Rhinolophus ferrumequinum: one gene and its partner. The protein of the gene in region 1 binds, or shares a complex with, the protein of each later gene. Links are inferred from orthologs where the notes say so. Each region holds a gene or a part of one and is shown on either strand. Other genes may lie near its edges.

The links.
Region 2: the proteins of ALB (region 1) and FCGRT are in contact, whole or in part, in a crystal structure (PDB 6QIO), measured with the Homo sapiens proteins. The link is inferred for Rhinolophus ferrumequinum from reciprocal best matches to the Homo sapiens genes ALB and FCGRT. Residues at the interface, in NP_000468.1 of Homo sapiens: Arg105, Glu106, Thr107, Tyr108, Gly109, Glu110, Asp113, Asn133, Asn135, Gln441, Ser443, Pro445, Thr446, Glu449, Leu484, Leu487, His488, Thr491, Pro492, Val493, Tyr521, Val522, Pro523, Lys524, Thr530, Phe531, Thr532, Phe533, His534, Asp536; in NP_001129491.1 of Homo sapiens: Arg65, Glu67, Glu69, Gly72, Ala73, Val75, Trp76, Gln79, Val80, Ser81, Trp82, Trp84, Glu85, Lys86, Thr89, Arg92, Asn172, Lys173, Leu175, Thr176, Leu179, Phe180, His184, Glu188, Arg192, Gly195, Asn196, Trp199, Lys200, Glu201.

The regions. Positions count from the first base shown.
Region 1 is NC_046288.1:30,504,947-30,515,116, forward strand, and holds the start of ALB (albumin), read left to right. Parts: upstream 1-4,950; 5' UTR 4,951-4,999; coding exon 5,000-5,078; intron 5,079-5,774; coding exon 5,775-5,832; intron 5,833-6,668; coding exon 6,669-6,801; intron 6,802-8,213; coding exon 8,214-8,425; intron 8,426-8,947; coding exon 8,948-9,080; intron 9,081-9,864; coding exon 9,865-9,962; intron 9,963-10,170. UniProt on the Homo sapiens protein: Binds water, Ca(2+), Na(+), K(+), fatty acids, hormones, bilirubin and drugs. Its main function is the regulation of the colloidal osmotic pressure of blood. Major zinc transporter in plasma, typically binds about 80% of all plasma zinc.
Region 2 is NC_046298.1:44,648,570-44,659,632, forward strand, and holds the start of FCGRT (IgG receptor FcRn large subunit p51), read left to right. Parts: upstream 1-6,176; 5' UTR 6,177-6,239; intron 6,240-6,431; exon of another isoform or gene 6,432-6,580; intron 6,581-7,054; 5' UTR 7,055-7,068; coding exon 7,069-7,141; intron 7,142-7,501; coding exon 7,502-7,756; intron 7,757-7,876; coding exon 7,877-8,152; intron 8,153-11,063. UniProt on the Homo sapiens protein: Cell surface receptor that transfers passive humoral immunity from the mother to the newborn. Binds to the Fc region of monomeric immunoglobulin gamma and mediates its selective uptake from milk.

The DNA of each region.
Region 1 (10,170 bases):
TTAGTGGGCAGTCAATAAGCTTTGAGCATGAATGAAAGACTAGGTGGTGCTACTTAAAATAAGTATGAAACCTGGATTGTGCCCTGTCAGCAAGAACATTGGTGTTCTTAAATAAATAGAGGGGTTGTTGATGCCAGAACAGTGTTTGCTTTAGATCCTATCATTCTTGATGTGTATTTTTGGCCAATTTTCCAACAGAAAGAAATTTGCATTTGTCAATAACATTCATTTGCCTTCAAGACATTAAATACTGAGAGGCTAATTTATATAATTTTAATGAATGAATAAATATCTAGTGTAAATATAAAATTAAGATTGATTTGAAATAGTAGTTGTATGTATTTCATCTAGTAATTTAAGCTATTGGTGTTAAATATACTGAATATCCCACAACTGTGAATCAGAAACATTTTGTAAAGCGAGTACCATTGTCAGCATCATATGTTACTGAAGTTACGTCTTTATGCTGTTTGAGTGCGTATTTTAGTTGCAACACATTATTATTAAATGAACTATTTTTGCAAACAAAACTTTCAAACTTGTAAATATTATTCAAATAGAAGAATTTCATTTTTTCCAATGTCTATGCAATGAAAAACTAATTGAAAAATTCAGTGCTTATATATGCAATATTAATATTTAAAAATCATTTTGAAAACATTTACATTATATACTTTATTATCATTTTGCTAGAAATGAATTTCTTTCAAATAAAAAAGAATACAGGTCAATTATTTATTTGTTACATTTCTTGAAGTTACAGTTATTTTGGATGAAATAATTAATTTCTTGATGTTAGCCCATACATAGATGCTTGAAAAACTGATGAGAATTTCAAGACTTAAATTGCAAGACTCAGTTGGGTGTCAGGCTGGAAATTTTTAGCTGAAGACTGGCACTAAGAGATTACAAAACATCTAATAAAATCTAAGCGTTAGAAGACATCAAGGAGAAAAATAATTTATCTTCTAATAAAAATTTTCTAACCTTGATCCATTGAAGTTTTACACAGGAATATTTTAGCTACACAACCTTTATTATTTTACAAAATTTAAAAAAAACCATTCAATTTTGTAAATTTAAATTCACCTCCTCTAGTAGTAAGTCTGTTGAATTACATTTGGAAAAATACAGAATATGAACAGACTAAGAATTATTAAACTCTCAGCAGCATATTCATTTCTGTTTGATTTCCATTTGTAGCTATTATTATGAGAGAGGAGTTAGTAACGTTAATTTCAACTTATTTGTTTATGGATATAACAACAGCTATTTGTTGTTAACATATGAAGAATGGATACACATGAATTTTATGCATTAGTTGCATTTTTCTTGGATTGGAAAACTGATAAAGATATGCTACAGTGTCATTTTATTTATATAGTTTAGATGTGTTTAAACGACCTTTTTATTTTTTAAAAAATGTTAACCTGAACTATTAAGTTGGTGCAAAGTAATTGCGGTTTTTGCAATTATTTTTAACCTTTTAAATCGTAATTACTTTTGCACCAACCTAATAGGTAGTGAGTAATGTCTGAGGAGCTGTTGGGTAGCTCAGCAATGACGAAATTCTCAAATTTGGATTCCAGTTTCCTAACTTGATACAGGTTTCCCCCACTATCTGAAAGTATGCTATGCCCATGAAATCTTTTGTAAGCCAAGCTGGTGTAAAGTGAAGAAGCAATTACCATTAATTTATGTGTAAAAAATTTGAATGTTTTCAGACCCCAAATTCAACAGGCAAGATGTCTTTTCTTTGTTCACCACAATTGAAACATCCAGCTTGATTACATCCAGTTTTCTGCCATAACACCCTTACGAGCTCTCTTAGATTTTTCTGATACCTTGGGACAGAGCTTGCTAATGGATACACAAAATAAATCAAGGTACAGCACACGTGCTCACAGACACAGTTCAAAGCGATGGCAGCTTGATGCTGAGATGCTGAGCGTGGTTCCTGGGGAAGGAGCTGGCGGGGCCACTCTCCCCACTCAGGGTGCCTGTTGCCTATATAATGGCTCGCTGTACAACGAATGCTGAACGCTATTTTCACTTTTGACCTTTTTTTTTCATAAAAGCAAAAGTCATCTTCAGATTTCTTTCAGTTATCAAAAACAGGTACCAATGTAGGTCTTTTGCGAAAGCGAAGTGGCGTAATGCAAACTTTTGAAAAGTGGGGGATACCTATATATTCATTCTACCAGCCAGACCCTATTCTCATTCTATAGGACTGTTATGTTGGGAATATGGAATTATAGAATGTTCAAGGTAAAAGGTCCTTAAAAATAATTTAACCCAACTTGACCTATATGGCAAGGAGATATATATACAGACCGCAGGTTTGAGTTTGGAGCTAGAAATTGACAATGAGCTGAATTAAACTGCATAGTAAAGAGTTGAGAAATTTGAAGTAAATGGTTTGGATATCTGAGAAGAAGTAGATGAAAATTCCAGAGGTCCAGTGTAACATGAAGAAAGGAAGAAAAAGGGACCCTCCTGCCATGGGAGATTTGGAGAGAGGGACTTAAGAGATAGGACAAGCCGAAGATGGTGATTTAGTGTGTTTTTATAATGTAAACTTCTTCTTCTGTCCCTTATGAAATCCTCAGCAATTCTATATTTATCACTAATGCAAGTGGGTATTTTGGAGGGATGACTTATGGAAGGAAATGAGAGGACAATTGATATTTGGATTACATTACTATTTCTTTATTTGCATTGGAAATGCCTGTGTAAGTTCATACATTTTGGACAATTTGTTTTCTTATTGTTTTAAAGGGAACTGTATCTTCACAAGTAAATAAAAAAATTAAATTGCTCACCATGTTTCAATTGGTTAGTTTGATGCTTAGCAGTCTTTCATTTTTCTACCCTTCTGTATTTTGTAGAAAAAAGTCCATGCCCTTCATGACAGGTAGGATCTGCATATGTCCACAGCATTGTAGGAAGAATGCTAAAAAAGGATTTTCCTGTCCTTAATTTTCTTTCCAAAGGATTCCAAATTTCTCGAGTTTTGGAATGACTTTGCCTTCAGTGGTTATCACTGGAAAGTCTCTGTTACAATACTGTGGATGTTATTAGACACAGGTATCTCATTGTTAAGCATATATTTCACTTTATTTCTAAGAGAAGGTGACTCAGAAGTCATAATCTATCACAGAAGGAGACGGCATGAAGGCTGGATCAAGTTGATGACCAAATGGAGAAAAACCTGCTTTGAATGATTTGGTGAGAAGCTTCCGGAATCCAGAGGGCAGAGGAGGGTGTAGTTTTAAGGTTATGATTAGGGTGGTAAGGAAGTGGGAGACTGGTCCAAAGAGATATTTCATCTGCTTCAAAATGATGCCTTTTCTACTGTCCAAATGAATGCAAAGCAAAGGACAAAAGGGATAAAACTCAGGTTTAATTCCCTGTTATATTTATATCTCAATTAGGTATTTTTTCTCTTCTAAATGATCAGCACACTACTATTCTTTCCATATGAAATAATTTTCTTAACTACTCTCTTTTTAAACTTCTCCCATAAAATGAAAATACATTTAAAAAATCACTGGAGCTAGTTTACTATTTACTTAAAAAACTAGATTCTGTAAGCCATATTTATAACTCTTGATTTAAAATGTATGCATTTACTCTCAAGCCAGAGTACTTTGGTGACTAATTAAACATAAGAGTTTAAAAATTTGAGGAACAGAATATTCAGAAAAAAACAACAATTATGTGGTTTTATTTCTCTCAATACACAGTGTGCATACAGAATTAGTAGAAGAAAAATGTGGGAATTCTTACTTTGGGAATCCACAAAATGCAAATGTTAAAGGGTTGCTTATTAAGATGGGTTTTAAGCACCCAGGTAGTGTTAAGAATTAAATATTAATTTCTCAACCATCTACTAATCTTTAATAAGGATATACACATGGAAAACACCTTATTGGTACTATGAGGAAAAGTTCAGGTGTTTCAGTTTTTATAATTGAAAGCTATGGGATGGGATCTTCTTGAAATATAGGAAAATCAATTCTCAGTTTTTAAAATCCTGATGAACTTGATTTTTTTTGGTTTTCTATATTTACCATTGTATTACAACATTATATTGCAGTGAAAAGTAGATGGAGAAACGAATATTATTCTTTTCATTTGTTACATGAAGAATATGCACAAAGTATATGTATATGTACATGACAAGGCCTAATTCTGTGAACTAGTAATACAATTACATTCAATTATAAGGATAACGTGTTTGATCAAGTCTTCCCTGGAGACTCATATAGAGGAGAGCCTAGGGTTAGACACTGACCAGACACAAGGTGCCCACTCTTTCTCTGAAGCTAAAAGAAAAGTTGACGTAATTTACCCAAAAGGGAATTATTTTCTCTGTTTAGAAAGTTAGAATGGTTTCCTTTTTGCTTTTGTAATTTAAGATTTTAGGCTTTAAAAAAATGTTTTTTTCCAATGGAAATAATTTCATAGGCAGATCTTCTTTTATTTCTGTTCATATGTGGCCTGAAGGACAAGTCTGGTTCCATTACTCATGACAAAAGGATGTATACTTGGAATTAGTAATCTATACAGTTCAGAGTTTAGCTCTCTTAGTATGTCTGATTTTCAAGCTAAGTCGTTGGTTTGCCTAATTTTTGGAAATACTGAACACTAAATTGTTCATATGGTAAATCACAGATAAAGAACATGGTAATGAATAATACGTACAGATTGTTTAAACTCTTAGGTAAAATTTGATAAGACGTTTTACATAACTTTAATGAATTGACAAGGTCTTGTGGGGAAAACAGTTCCAGATGGCAAACATACGCAAGGGATTTAGTCAAACAATATTTTGGCAAGAACATTATGAATTTTGTAATCACTTAGGAGCCAATGAAATACAAAGATTAGTCTAGTTAATAATCTACAATTATTGGTTAAAGAAGTATATTAGCACTAATTTCGCTCTATTCATCTTACCTTTTCCCTTTTTTCAAACCCACAAGCCTTTGGCACAATGAAGTGGGTAACCTTTATTTCCCTTGTCTTTTTTATCAGCTCTGCTCATTCCAGGGGTGTGTTTCGTCGAGATGCACGTAAGAATTCTATTTTTCTAATATTTAAATTTATTTTATTTTCCTAGTAAAAGAACATTTTAGTAAACTCTGTATCTTTAAAGAAGTTTCTCTTTAGCATTTATTTCTAGACTATGATGGTATTTTGTATTTGTGAACCCACAGGAATTTATCTTATTAATATATTTCTAACATCCTAAATGAAAAAAAGATGGTGAGAATTGTTTAGTAGCTATAATTTCCTTTTGCATATGAAGGAACTTAGAGTGACTTAAACTTCACAGAATGTAGTTGATGATATAATTGATAACTTCAAATTCCCAAAGCCCTATCCCAAAACACCTTGATGGGTATATAAAAACAACAAAACCTGTGTTATTAATCTTGTAAAGGGAACTTGTATTATATTCTTCCGTTCAGACTGTCTTCTCCGTAGCTGTTAATAGACACTAAGAGCATTAGATCTTATCAAAAAATGAATATACAGCTATAAATATGTAATGATTTAAATGATTTTTCAAATAGTATCATTGGTGATTGAATAGCTTCTGTTTAAAAGAAGCTATAGTTCACTGTCATCCTAATATTTTCTGTAGAGATCAGAGCTCAATATTTTAGAGCAAATGAATACTTAAGTCAAATGGAGAGACATATAAGAAGTAGTATCCTAATCAGTTGTTTTCATCAGGTTTTAAATAAATATTGTTTTTTCCCCAGCCAAGAGTGAGATTGCTCATCGGTTTAAGGATTTGACAGAAGAACATTTCAAAGGCCTGTAAGTTAAAATATTGAAGTCAAATTTAATGTTTCTAATAGCATTGGTTATTATTTTTAAATTCTTATAATCTCCTGTCATCAGAATCCAGACTCTAGAGTAGAAATTTCTGCACTGGAGAAAATATTCTATATCAGTGTTGTCCAATATGGTAGCCACTGGCCTCATGTTGTTGAGTATTTTAAATATGGCAAGTGCAATTGAGGTACAAAAATTTAAATTGTATTTAATTTTAATTTATTCAACTTTATATAGTCACATGTGGCTACTGAATACTATGCATTGGAAGATATAACTCTGGCACTTTTATTGAACCTGGATGATGGGAAAGACTTTAATATGTGGTCCCTTTTGCATCATACTTAGTTAAATTTATTTACCTAGCAAACAGATCTGTGGCTTCTTGAGAGCATTTCAGTATTTTTTAATCTATTAAAAAATGAGAAAACAATTTATTTTTTAAAGGTCATGTCATTCTATAGGCTGATTAAACGAGGTGTGTTGGGTTTTTTTTTTGGTTGTTGTTTTTTAATTTGTTTTACATAGTCAAAAGGCCTATGCAATGCCCCTTGTCTTAATGATTAGATCTGTTTAGAATACATTTTGCTTGTTAGCTATATATGTGTGCATCTACTCACGTGTAGACACATGTTTAAACATGGTGGAAATACATAACCTCTTTGCTTAGAAAGCCTCAGATGATAGCTGATGTGACTAGGCTTTCTGGATAATAGTACGATGTATAAAATATAAAACATATGCTTTTAGTCTAATATAGCAACATACTTTATATTCAAATTTTATTATACTGCATTTTACTATGTCCTTTGTTGCAGGGTGCTCATAGCCTTCTCTCAGTATCTCCAGCAGTGCCCATTTGAAGATCATGTAAAATTAGCAAATGAAATAACTGAGTTTGCAAAAACATGTGTTGCTGATGAGTCAGCTGCAAATTGTGACAAGTCCCTTGTAAGTAGTCTGATGTTGAATATTAGTTCTTCTTTTAAGTAAGCCTGAGCATTTCAAAGGGAAAACAGTCCCATTTTAGTTTTCTCAATTATTACTAAATGACCATATTTGTAAGCAACAGTCAAAAGTAGGTAGAGCCATCGTTTTTTCTGTGATAGAGACATGCTAGCTATACCCACCGTTTTAAAAACAATTCTTTCTGGAGACCACACCCAGTGGTTATCATGTATTTAAATGGAAAGCTTTTAATTTGTTAAAGTCTCTTTTAAAAATCTGAAGTTTGATTTCTCTTCATAGAGGCTAATAGTGATAGCATGTTTTTTAATCTTCAGAAAGTACTTAACTGATTTCTGCATTCATTTTGTTACCTGGGTAAAAATTATAGTATAGCTATGTATTCCTTGTTTCAGGGATATTCATATTTTTACATACAATAAAATATTGAGGTATTCATTTATTTTAAAAAATTTTGAGCTTTTGGTATTTCCAAATAGGTCTTCAATACAAAGAAAGGTTAATGTTTTCTCTTACCATTCAATCTATATATACTTTTCTGGGGGCAAGTCCATTTTTCAATTATCACTTAAGTCTTTCCTTCTCTTATTTCTCTCTCTCTCTCTCTCTCTCTCTCTCTCTCTCTCTCTCTCTCTCTCTCGATATATATATATATATATATATATATATATACACACATATACATACATATACATATATATATATATATATATATATATATATATATATATCAAGCCAGAATCAATACTTTAATTCCACACAATATAATGTCTCTAAATATGAATTTTTAAAAATGTATTTTTGAGAATTAATTCTCTCTTGAGCAGTGTATTTTCCCTGGAATTACAATTACTTTCATAATAAAAATTAATGGTGATGTAAATAATTCATTTAATGGAATGTGCTTCAAGGCAAATTCTTTATTATAATACAATAACAATTAATATATAGTATGTTGTGTTACTCCTCAGTTTTTGAATGGTATCTGCTAAAACATTGCACATCTCACAAAGAAGCAGATCAAATGAGAAGCTATCTGAATACTTTCCTCCCTAATGTGAATTCAGCTGCTACTTAGAGAATTATTTTTGCTTGATTTTTAAATTATGATTGCTCTCCTAGTCTTTAGCCTCAGGTGGAAGTTAGAATAACATTTATTCCTTATCTTTTTTGCCCTTCTGTTTTATCCACTGTAATTAATAGTGTGACAGTTAATTCTTAAAAAATTACACATAGATGGTCAAATCAAGGGACACTCTCTAAACCTGTGAAAAAAGTAGATTTTTATATGGTTTCCTAACCAAGGTTTACCAGAATATTGCATTTTTAATACTATTCTTTGGGTATAAAAAATAATATACTGCCTAGAAATTTGAAGCCTTCTGTCTTCCATTTAGCATACTCTCTTTGGAGATAAACTGTGTACAGTTGCATCTCTTCGTGCCACCTATGGTGACATGGCTGACTGCTGTGAAAAACAAGAACCTGAGAGAAACGAATGCTTCCTGAAACACAAAGATGATAACCCAAATCTCCCTGCACTGGTGAGACCAGAGCCTGATGTTTTGTGCACTGCCTTTCAGGAAAATACACAGAAGTTTTTGGGACAGTAAGTAATCAGATTTTTATGCTTCAAAATTAAAAATTATGAAATAGTTCAAGACTCACTGTAACAAAATATTTTCGACATTAAGATTTAGAAGCTTTTGTTCTAATGACAGTTTTAAAGAAGTAATATTTGATACTATAAAATTTTACATGATAAAAATTTGATCAAAGATCTTTCATTGAAACCAGATATGATCTGTAGGAAAAAAATTGAAATTGACACGTATTATAATATTATGAAGATATATGCTTAGTTATTCTCAGAATTAATTTCATTTTAGTCAATAACCTTATATCACCAATACTTAACTATTTTATGTGTGTATGTATATATAATTTATATATATGTTTAACTTTTTCATTGACTTGAAGAATGATAAAGGCAAGATCATCATGTGTAAATGGAGCTTAATTGGTAAATGAGATGTCTTTGGGTTTGGGGGAAAATATTGATTACAATTGTTCCTGTAATACTATTTGCTATAGGAATATTAACTCCCTGTTCTTCTTTTTTAAAATGTAGGTACTTATATGAAGTTGCCAGAAGAAATCCTTACTTTTATGCCCCAGAACTCCTTTACTATGCTCAAAAATATAAAGACGTTTTAACAGAATGCTGCCAAGCTGCTGATAAAGCTGCCTGCCTGGGACCAAAGGTATGCCCAGAAGTATAGAACCAGCTCAGCCTCAAACCTCAGATGTGGGGCATCTTATGGCTAGATTTAGGGAACCAAAGTCTCTGATATAAACTTCTTTACCTGGTCAAAAAAGACTTCCTCACTCTTATCCATCCCAAAGATCTTTCACCCTCATTGAAGGCCCATCACATCTTCAATCGTTCTTTTTAAGTTTTGTCAAAGTGCATTGAAAGAGGGAATCACTGTGCATGTGTCTAAATATCCCTCCTCTTTTTATGGTGCTGGTCACTATAGTGAAACTCATTTGTAAAATTGTGCAGCAGAGGGCCACGGTTTTTGTTTATCTTTTCATGAGGGTTTCTTATTGGGAAGGGAATTCAAAGTGAAGAATTTCATTGCATCCGGAATCCTGGATTTATTAATCCATTCCATAAATATTTATTATATACTGCATTATCTTTTCTAGGGTGTTTATTGATGTGAGAGTTGGTAGAGGAGGGATTGAAATGAATTATATGCAAAATTAAGAAGTCAGCAAAATTATATTCCCTAGGATATTAGTATACTCTGTTCTTCCACCTTTTCCTTCATTCCCCGTAACTACCCAGTCTTCCGTTACGACCCAGTTGCTTTTTCCTCTTCCTACATAGTAAAATAATTAATTGCCAATAGTGAGTACTTGGGAATTTAGGTGTACCTTATCTCTTTAAAATTTAATTTGACTTAGTCTCATCTAACTACTGAAGGGGTGTTTCATGTAGAATTGTTTTCTTAATACTTTCAAAATTATTTCTTTTTGCAGATGGATGCTTTGAAGGATACAGTAATGGCCGCATCTGCCAAAGACAGACTCAAGTGCTCCAGTCTCCAAAAATTTGGAGATAGAGCTTTCAAAGCATGGTAATTTAAATTTAGTTCTGTGCTATATAATGATGTAAATGATGATGATTCAGTTGACAAAATTGTATATTTTTATAGCTTTTCACACAGTACTGTCACATACATACATCTTCTTGGTTGTCTAAAAGGTAGAATCTTAACAGAAGTGAAAATCAGAGCATGAATGACAATTTGTCATTGTTTTTTATCACAGTTTTTTCAAAGTAGT
Region 2 (11,063 bases), on another chromosome or scaffold:
GGATGCAAGAGTGAGCAAGACAGATCCAGGGCCTGATGTCTGAGAGCCTACTAGTATCTAGAGTGACCTGGAGGACGTTAACAGCAGCCTGGGATGAGCGGGAAGCATCTAGAGGAATAAGTGCTACTTCTGTGCCCTACTATATGCCTTGTGCAAACCTGAACTCGATAAAGCTTCTCTGTTGAGGTAGGCACAATTATCCCCACTTCACAAAGAAACCAAGGTTCAGAGAATCCTACCTAGAAAAGGTAGGATTTGGTTTTGAAATTAGGTGTGGTTGCCTCCCGGGGTGCGTAGGGGGCGCTACAGCGTAGGTGCAGAGGGGAGGAGTGGATGTTAAGGTCGCAATTCAGGAAGCATTACTCAGAGCTGACTGAGGCCATTTATGGTGCACGGACCCCAGGGGCCAAGGTGCCTTCGTGGGCGAGCTCCCTCTGCAGGCTGAGCCATTGCTCGAAAGGGACCTGTGTTTGGTTTAATACTCTGCTTGAACCATGTTGAAACTGGAACAAGGGGCCCTACATTTTCCTTTGGCATTGCACCCAAAGGATTAGTAACTGGTCCTGCCACCAGGCAAGGGAGGGCATCCTCTGTGACTGTGATAGGCTAGATAATGGTCTCCCAAAGATGTCTATGCCCTATTCCCCCAAAACCTGTGAATATATGATTTTATAATATATGATAAAAGGGACTTTGCAGATGTGATTAATTTCAGGATCTTGAGATGGGAAGATGATCCTGGATTACCCAGGTGGGATAAATGTTATTATAAGGGTCCTTATAAGAGGGATACAAAAGGATCAGAGTCAGAGGTAGAAGGACAGACACAGGGGTCAAAGAGGAGAGAAGATGCTAGTTTTGAAGATGGAGGAAGGGTCCATAAGCCAGGGAATGCAGGTAGCCCCAAGCAGCTTGAAAAGACCAGGAAATGAATTCTCCCCGGAAGCCTCCAGCAGAAAGCAGCCCTATGGACTTCCGGTCTCCAGAGCTGAACAATAATCCATTTGTGTTGTTTTAAACCACTAAGTTTATGGTAATTGGTTACAGGAGCCATAGGACACTAATAAAATGATCCAGGGCCCTGCAGATGGCTGCTGAAGCGGGATCCCAGGATGCCTGGGTGAAAGCCTGCGGGAATTTTCCCAGAACCCCCTGTAGGACACTGATGTTTCCGGGGACACGGAATAGCAGGCCCCTGGACTCTTAACAGGAACCTAAAGACTTCATGGTAGAGCTAAGAGGCATTATACTAGGGTTCTGGCAGGACCCAGACGGATTTAGAGGGGACACCCTGAGGCCGTTTTAATTACATGAAGTAGGACTGCACCCATTTCAGCAGGATCCAGGGGACCTTCTGAGTGCTCAGTGGGGGAATATTGTAGGGTCTGGGGACATATTTTATCAGGAATCAAAGAACTCAGTGGGCTGTAGAGTGCTGAGAGGTGTTGAAGTGACAGCCGATGGAACATTGTAGCAGGACCAAGGACACCTAGAAGAGATATCCAGAGATGGGTAAAGCAGGACCTGAAGAACAGTTGAGAAAAACATAAGCATTACAGTAGGACCTGGGGCCTTAGAAGACGTGGGGCCACTGGAAAAGGCCCAGGGGCAGTGCACCAGCGTCCTGGGAGGAGTATGGGGACAGGAATCCAAGGACTTGTCATCAGAGCTCTCGTGGCATTATTTTAAGGTCCTAGGCAATAGAGAAGAATCCTAGGGGTGTGTTTTAACCATTAGAGGAGGACCCAGGGAATCGAAAGGGGACACACAGAGCCATGGGGTGGGATCTCAGGGCCATTTCTTTAGTAAGGTCTCAGGTCCCTTACGGTGGGGACCTCTGGGATGAGGGAGCAGCAATCTAGCTGGTCAAGGGGGCATGATAGCAAGTTCCTTGGAAATGTGGAAGGTTTCTTACAGGCTAGGAGAGATTTTATAGCAGGTCCTGGAGGGTCTAATTGTTTCTTTCTTTCTTTCTTTTTTTTTTTTTAAGATTTTATTGGGGAAGGGGAACAGGACTTTATTGGGGGAACAGTGTGTACTTCCAGGCCTGTTTTTCCAAGTCAAGTTGTTGTCCTTTCAATCTTAGTTGTGGAGGGTGCCGTTCAGCTTCAAGTTGTCCTTTCAGTCTTAGTTGTGTCGGGCGCAGCTCAGCTCCAGGTCCAGTTGCCATTTTTTTCTAGTTGCAGGGGGCGCAGCCCACAATCCCTTGTGGGCGTTGAACCGGCAACCTTGTGGTTGAGAGGATGCGCTCCAACCAACTGAGCCATCCGGGAGCTCAGTGGCAGCTCAGCTCAAGGAGCCGTGTTCAATCTTAGTTGCAGGGGGCGGAGCCCACCATCCCTTGAGGGAGTCGAGGAATTGAACTGGCAACCTTGTGGTTGAGAGCCCACTGGCCCATGTGGGAATCGAACCGGCAGCCTTCGGAGTTAGGAGCATGGGGCTCTAACCACCTGAGCCACCGGGCTGGCCCTAATTGTTTCTTTCTTTTTCTTTTTTTTCTATTGAGTTTTCTCTCTGTATATCTATGTGTTTGTCTGTCTGCCTACCTACCTACCTACCTACCTCCCTCCCTCCCTCCCTACCTACATATCTCTTTGTGTCTGTGTAGTGCAGGGGATCCTGCCGACTTCGCCATGTGTCATGCAGGGTGTCATGCGGGGTCTCTGGTCCCACTCCCCACATAAGAATGCAGGACATAGTGAGGCCAAAAAGGAACACCCACGGAGCCATAGGTAGGGGAGTCACACCACTATACTCTCCCTGGCGGCTGGGTTGGAGACACAGGAAACAGGAGCCACACAATTCTCAACCCTCACTGCTCCATTGCAGGCTCAGCCACCATCTTCTTGCTAGCCCCCATTCTCTGCTAGCCTAGCCACGGCAGTTATATTAGTGGCCAATGGCTCACTGGTTACAGCTGACAGCCAACTAGCCACAGCTGATGGCCATTTGATCACAGTCAACGGCCATTTACTACCTGAGCCAGCACCTTTCTATGTGAGGCCGAGAGCCTGGAAACTGCTTTTTGGGGCTCTGTCCCCACAGTCTGTTTATACATGTTTCATAGGACAGGGCAGGACAATAATAGAGAGAACCCAGGTGGGGTTTGGGGAGTCCCACTCAGCTTTACAATGGAAACTGAAGGAATTAAAACAGGTTTGGTGGCAGGAGCAGGGGCCTGGGGCTTAGGGCCTTCTGTGGCCATTCTGTGAGGTCTCAGGACTCATTTATCAGGATCCCAGAGAGGGGGTGGCCCACTCTGCGGGACATTAGTGGAGGCTCCTAAAGACGTTATCGCCGTGTCTCAGGATACTCACAGGGACCCAAGGAGCATGGGGGTGGGGTTCTGAGATTATCAGAGACCCAGGGACAGGGTGGGGCCTCTGGCAAAAGTCCCGGAGGACTCAGGGGCACTGGAGTTCAACTGAGTTAATACAACAGTCATGAGGGGTGCAATGGGGCCCTAGGGTGATGGTTTTCAAGCTTCAAGGAAAAGTATAGCAGAGTCCTGGGGCCCTGTCACAGGACATTGGGTACTTTATATCAGGGTCCAAGGAACATCATAGTAGGGTCCTGAGGGCCTTTAAAATGAGAGCCCAGGGGCTGCTGGAATAGTGTCTCAGAGACAGCTGAATCCCAAGGGACACAGAAGGGACAGCTGGGCATGGCAGGCTCTTCAGTGTATTTTAGGAAAGAGCTAACGGTGCTGTAATAGGGCTCACAGGATATGAAAGTATGATCCTTCAGTGTCATTATACGCAGCCCCTTCGGGTGGGTCTATGAATAACCTAGCAGAACCCAGAGAGAATAATGAAAATCAACAGAGGTTCTTCAATAAGGCGAACACAAACACCATCGGTAGTGGTTCATTTCATGTGTCAACTTGGCTGGGCTGTAGTGCACAGCTGTTTGGTCCAACATTACTCTAGATGTTTCTGTGAGGGCGTTTTTGGATGACATTTACACTGAAATCAGTGGGCTTTGAGTAAAGGAAGCTGGCCTCCATAATGTGAGTAGGCCACATCTAAACAGCTGACAACATAAATGGAAGAAAAAACAGACCTCTCCCAAACAGGAAAGAATTCTGCCAGCAAATACCTTTGAACTTCATCTGCTAGATCAGCTCTTCCTGGTTCTTCCTGCTTTTGGACTTGAGCTGCAGCTCCTTCCTGAATCCCCAGCTTGGTCTCCACCCCTATTAGATTTTCAACTCAGCACAATCATGTGAGCCAATTCTTTGAAGTAAGTGTCTTTCTATGTATGTATATAAACATCCTGTTGGTTCTGTTTCTCCAGAGAACCCTGACTAACACATCATATGACCTCGTAATTCCATTCCCGGGTATATACCCAAAAGAATTAAAAACAGTTGTTTAAAAAAACCCCAAAAACATACATAATGCTCATAGCAGCATTATTTATAATATCCAAAAAGTAGAAACAACCCAAAACGTCCATCAATGGATGAATGGATAAAGAAAAGGTGATAGATCCAAACAATGGAATATTATTCAGCCATAAAAAGGAATGAAGTGGTGATCCATGCTACAACATGGTTAAATCGTCAAAACAATACGCTAAGTGAAAGAAGACAGACACAAAAGGCCACAATATTGTATGACCCCATTTATATGAAATATGCAGAATAGGTAAATCCATAGAGACGGTGGTTGCCAGGGGCTAGGAGGAGGAGGGGCTGCTTGATGAGTACGGGGTTTCTTTTGGGGTGATGAAGAAGTTCTGGAACTAAAATGCACTAAATATCATTAAATGGTAAATCTTATGTTTTGTGCATTTTAAAATAAAACAAATGAATGGAAGCAGTGTAGCAGGAGTGTGAGCTGGGGGCGGGTGACTGGAGGGGGCCTCTAAGCCTGATAGTCGTACATTGGTGTGCCTTGGTATCTGTGGGGGAATTAGTTCCAGGACCCCCCTGCAGATACCAATATATGTTACTACACTCTTGTAAAAGTGTAGTAACATATATTGGAACTCTGTGCTGTGGAGGTCCTATCAGAAGACATTAAAGAACCACAAGGGCTCATTACCAAAAGGTTTGTGGGCAATACTATACTTGAGGTCACTGTAGAAAAGACATCCTAGGGAATGAGAGTGGCAAGGCTTCAGAAATAGGCTGATTTGGAGCGGGCCTGGCGGCTCAGGTGGTTAGAGCGCTGTGCTCCTAATGCTGAGGTCGCCAGTTCGATTCCCACATGGGCCAGTAAGCTGCGCCCTCTACAGCTAAGATTGTGAACAACAGCTCTCCCTGGAAGCTGGGCTCCTGTGTGCTGCTGCCCTGGGCCACATGTGCTGCTATGAGCCACTGGTGGCGAGTGTGAGTGGCCCGCAGGCTGTGAAGGCCGACTGATGACCGGCAACCGACTGCCTCAGCCTAGGGTGGGGAGGGGAAGCGCACATAATACCAGCATGGGCCAGGAAGCTGTGTCCTGCACAACTAGACTGAGAAACAAGGGCTTGAACCCAAGTGGGGATAGGGGGAGGCGGAAAAAGGGGGAAAAAAAATAGGCTGATTCGGATTCGTGGTATAAAACTTCAGTATAACGGTAGTTTGCCAAGTTTACTTCAGTTCACAATGTAAGGTATTTCAAATAAATTCTTGTTCATTTTGCATGGAAAATTGATACTAGGACTAGTCTACAGTTCTTTGCAGTTTTTGCTTTCGTGAAGAAATTATAAGCTAGGCACAGCGTTTGTGTTCTGGTTTGAAGCAACTTTAGAACCACAGGAAGTGTCTTTTTGGAGATGGGTGACTTCAGTTTGTTAATATTTCTGCCTTTTTGGTATTTGAGCAGATTTCATGTGTTGTCTCCTCCTCTGCTTTATTTTACTTATTTATTTCTACCATACAAAGCTTTATTTCTATTGCTTATATCATAATAGTTGTATAAAAGCTTTTGTTTTGCATTCATCACATCATTTGTTAGAAGAGGAATCTTTGTCCATTTTGCTTTGCACCAGTAGCCTGTTGTGCCCATTCAGTATTTGGTGCATAATTGGACCTTAAATTAAAAAATGTAAATAAAGTTTTTCATCTATAATGCTTTTATACAAAGCTTTTACTTTACAAAAAAAAAATATTTTGTTTAAAAAAAAAAAAGGGGAACTGCAAGGGCACTTTAAGGCGACACTTGGGGGAGGGGTTCCAAGAAGGAAACACAGGATCTAGAGACCTTTCTTTGTAGCAGGAGCTAGTGAAGGCCTTGTGGAGGGTAAATGAGGTAAGAAGGGGAACCCACAGTGACCTCCGAATTTTGCACTCTGATAGTGCTGGTTTCTATTCCCAACTTTGTCACGAATTCGCTGGCTGGCTGATACCCTCAAAATGAAAACAACAACAGAGAAAGAGACCCAAAAAAATCGACGAAAGTTTTCAAGAGAGCAGCAGAGACATATTCAGAGAGTCTGGGCCCAGGGCCCAGGGTGTGCCCTGCAGCTGGGGGGCGGAGTTGTATATTCCCAGTGCCGGGGAACAATCTCCGGACAGGATGTGAGAGAGGAACTGGGGTCTCCAGTCACGGGAGCCAGCTGGGGCTGCAGGCGGGAAGGGATCGCGGCTGCTGTGAGCAGAGCTGGGGCCCGGGCCCCGAGGGAGGACGGGCTGGGGTCCGGGCTCCTGGGGCCAAGGGACGAGGGACTGGGGCCCGGACTCTCGAGTCTGAGGGAGGAGGGGCTGGGGGCCCGGACTCCTGGGTCTGGAGGAGGAGGGGCTGGGGCTGGGACTCCTGGGTCCCAGACAGGAGGAGGAGGAGGAGGAGGAGGAGGAGGAGGAGGAGGAGGAGGAGGAGGAGAAGGAGGCGGGGATGAGCTCCGAGAATGAAATTTCAGCCTATCCAGGCTCTGTAATTAATTAACCAACATGGATCAAATTAAGGGGTGAAAGTTCATTGAGGCGTAGGGCATTGTTGTCACTCTCCTGGAAGGAGCCCCGAACCCACACCCACAGGCGTCGGCGTGGTGGCGGAGCCCAGCGGAGCTGGGGGAGGAAGGCGTGGGCCGGGGGTCCGGAGGAGTCACGCGCCTCCTCCCGCCCCAGGTCTCCCTCTCAGGATGCGGGTCCCCCGACCAGTGCCCTGGGGGCTTTGTCTCCTGCTGTTCCTCCTGCCCGGGACGCTTCGCGCAGGTGAGAGGTGCTCAGTCGGGGCTGCTGGGGTGGAGGGAGGTGCCCCCCGCCGGGAAGGAGAGGACGAAGCGAAATCTGCGGTTTCCGTCGAGCCAACATTTTCCCCTTCCCTGTATTTCATTTGGTTTATGATTTTCTCCTTCTTCGCTCAGTGTGTCTGGGAAGCACCTGTCCCCCTGTCTCCAGATCCCTGTCCCCCTCTCTCTGAGTCTTTGTGCCCCCATAGCTGAATCTGCCCACTTTCTCAGAGTCTGTCCCCTCTGTCCGGGGTCGAGTCCTTCCTCTCTCCCGGTGTCTCTCTTGCTCCCTGTCTAGATACCTCCGGCCCCATCTGCTGCATTCACCTCTGTCTCTCTCCAGCAGACAGCCATCGCTCCCTCTTGTACCACTTCACCTCCGTGTCCTTTCCTGCCCCGGGGACCCCTGCCTTCTGGGTATCAGGTTGGCTGGGTCCACAGCAGTACCTGAGCTACAATAACCTGCGGGCCCAGGCTGAGCCGTACGGGGCTTGGGTCTGGGAAAACCAGGTGTCCTGGTATTGGGAGAAAGAGACGACGGACCTGCGGAACAAGCAGAAGCTTTTCCTGGAAGCTCTCACGGTCTTGGAGGAAGGAGGCAAGACTTGGATTCCTGGGTCTGAGGGCTGAGGACCTGGGGGCTGGACTCCTGGGTCTGACAGACAAGGGGGTGGGCCCCTGCTCCTGGGCCATGCTCACCTGTGTGTCGGTACCCCAGGTTCCTACACCCTGCAGGGCCTGCTGGGCTGTGAGTTGGGGCCTGACAATGCCTCTGTGCCTGTGGCCAAGTTTGCCCTGAATGGCGAGGAGTTCATGAAGTTCGACCCCAAGGTGGGCACCTGGATTGGAGACTGGCCTGAGGCCAAGAGCATCAGTGACAAGTGGACGCAGCAGGCGGAGGTGGTCAACAAGGAGAAGACCTTCCTGCTGTACTCCTGCCCCCAGCGCCTGCTGGGCCATCTGGAGAGAGGCCGTGGAAACCTGGAGTGGAAGGGTGAGCAACCTCCCGAAGAATCTCAGACCCCGGTGGATCTCTCCGTTCCCCATGGCCCCACCTTAGGCCTCGTCCTCTTCCCCAGCCTCCTCCCTGGCCTCCTGACTTCCAATCTCCCCTCTGCAGCTTATCCCCCACACGTCCCAGGGGGTCTTTCTACCCCCAGAGCTGACCCTGCCCCTCTCCTGCACACAGCCCTCCCATGGCTTCAAGAGCCCTCAGAACACAGCTCAAGCCCCTCACCCTGGCATCGAGGCGCCGTGTGGCATGGCCTCTGTCCCTCTCCTCAGCCTCACATTTCTCCATCTGCCCCACTCAGTCAAAAGGAATCACCTAGAGTTCCTTGAGCTCATGCCAACCCTCCCATTTCTTCCCTTCTGCCATTCTCCTTCCAGTTCCCGTGGTGTCACAGCCAGGGAGATTTCTCTGGCCCATAAGGCTTTCACTTGCCTCTTGGGGCTCCCACAATGCCTTGTGTGACCTCTGTTACAGCACATGTCATTCTGATCTATAATGATGTGGATGTTTGGGGAATTCTCAAGGGCTGGAATTACCATGTTTCCCCAAAAATGAGACCTAGCCAGACAATCAGCTCTAATGCGTCTTTTGGAGCAAAAATTAATATAAGACCTAGTATTATACTATATTACATTATATTACATTACATTATATTACATTACATTATATTATATTGTAAGACCCGGTCTTATATTATAGCAAAATAAGACCAGGTCTTATATTAATTTCTGCTCCAAAAGACACATTAGAGCTGATCGTCCGGCTAGGTCTCATTTTCGGGGAAACACGGTAGAGCTCTTTTGTCCTCAGTGTCCCCCCCTACCTTGCAATCCCAGCTTCCATCTCTGCCCCCAATGCAGACCATGTTTTGAAATGTAAACGAGCTCCCATCCCGCCATTTCTTAAAACAATCCAAATAGCTTCCCACTAGTCTTGGACTAAAACCCAAACTCTACTCTGTGGCCCACAAGCCCTGCGTGGTCTGGCTGCTTTCCGCCACTGTAATTTCACAACATCCCTGCTCCGGTGACCTTCTCCCGGTCCTCCAACATGTCTGATTCTTTCCCTCCTCAGGACCTTTGCACATGCTGTTCCCTGTGCTTGTGATTGTCTTCCTTGGGATCCTGCCATGACTGGGTTCTTCTCATGCCTTTAGGTTGGATCCTGGATGGGGGCTCTTCAGCAGGGCCCTCCCTGACCACCCTGACTAACGTGTGCCCCCATGCCACTGCCATTATTGTCTCTCATGCCCCTGTTTTGTCTGTTCAATCATTACAGTATCTCTAATTTAAAAGTTTTTCTTATTGAGGTGTAACTTACCTACCTAAAGTACATAGCTCGATTAATTTTTATATGTGCTCATGTACTTGCCCTCCAGATCAAGATCTAGAACATTTCCATCACCCCAGAAGATTTCCTTGTGTCCCCTCCCATTGCATACCCCCCCAAGGGTAACAACTAACCTAACTTCTATTACCATAGTGTTGCCTGATTTTGAACTTCATACAGTTATGAGCATGTGCTTGTTTGTGTCTCGCTTCTTTCATTCAAGCTCGTGTCATGAGACTATTGTTCCATCCGTCTGTCAGCAGTTTATTCCTTTTACTGCTGAGTAGTATTTCATTGCCTGGTTCATACCACAGTTTTTCAGTGAATGGTTTATTTTCACTGAAAAGATTGGGGCTATTATGGGTAAAGCTGCTATGAACATTCTTTTACATGTCTTTTGATGAATCTGTATTTTCATTTATTTTGACTAAACACCCATAAGTGGAATTGTTGTGTCATAGTGTAGGCATAAGATTAGCTTTAGTAGGTGGTATTAAACATTTTCTCAAAGTGGTTGGACCAGTTTTATACTCTCACCAGCCATGTACATAAATTCCATTGGTTCACAGGCTTGCCAGAATTTGATGCTGTCTGTCTTTAATTTTAACCATTCTCGTGGGTTACGTGTAGTGGTATCATATTGTGATTTCACTTTTCATTTATCTGATGATAAATGAAAATCCGATAAATGATTTGATAAAATCAGATACATGATTTAATGACTTGCTATGTTGAGTACTTTTTCACGTTATTGGCCAGTTGGATGTCTCCTCTTTTGGAGTAGCTTTTTGATTCCTTTATCCATTTATTTATTTATTTCAACATTTTTTATTGGTTTCAGGTATACGAAACAACATAATGATTAGGCATTTACACCCCTCAGAAAGTGATAATCCCACCAAGTCTACTACCATTCTGACCTTGTATATAGCTATTACAATACCACTGTCTATATTTCTATGCTGTATTTTATATCCCATGACTATATCCTTTACCCATTTTTAAATCAGAATTTTTGTCTTTTTTTTATTAGAGTTTTTCGTGTGTTCTGGATATGAGTCCTTTGGATATGTCAGATGGTTCTATTGGAAATAACTTCTCCCAGTCTGCAGCTTTTCACTTTCTTAATGAAAACTTGCTGAACAAAAGTTCTCAATTTTGATGAAGATCAATTTATCAATCCTTTATCTTATAGCTCTTGTTTTTCTTTTTTTTTTTTTTTAATTGGAGAACAGTGTGTACTTCCAGGCTTTTTTCCAAGTCAAGTTGTTGTCCTTTCAATCTTAGTTGTGGAGGGCACAGCTCAGCTCCAGGTCCAGTTGCCGTTGTTAGTTGCAGGGGGCACAGCCCACCATGCCTTGTGGGAGTCGAGGAATCGAACTGGCAACCTTGTGGTGGAGAGCCCACTGGCCCATGTGGGAATCGAACCGGCAGCCTCCGGCATTAGGAGCATGGAGCTCTAACCGCCTGAGCCACGGGCCAGCCCCTATTCTATAGCTCTTTTGTGTGTTCTCTTTCAGAAATCTTCCCTCTCCCAAAGTATGAAGGTATTCTCTTATGTCTT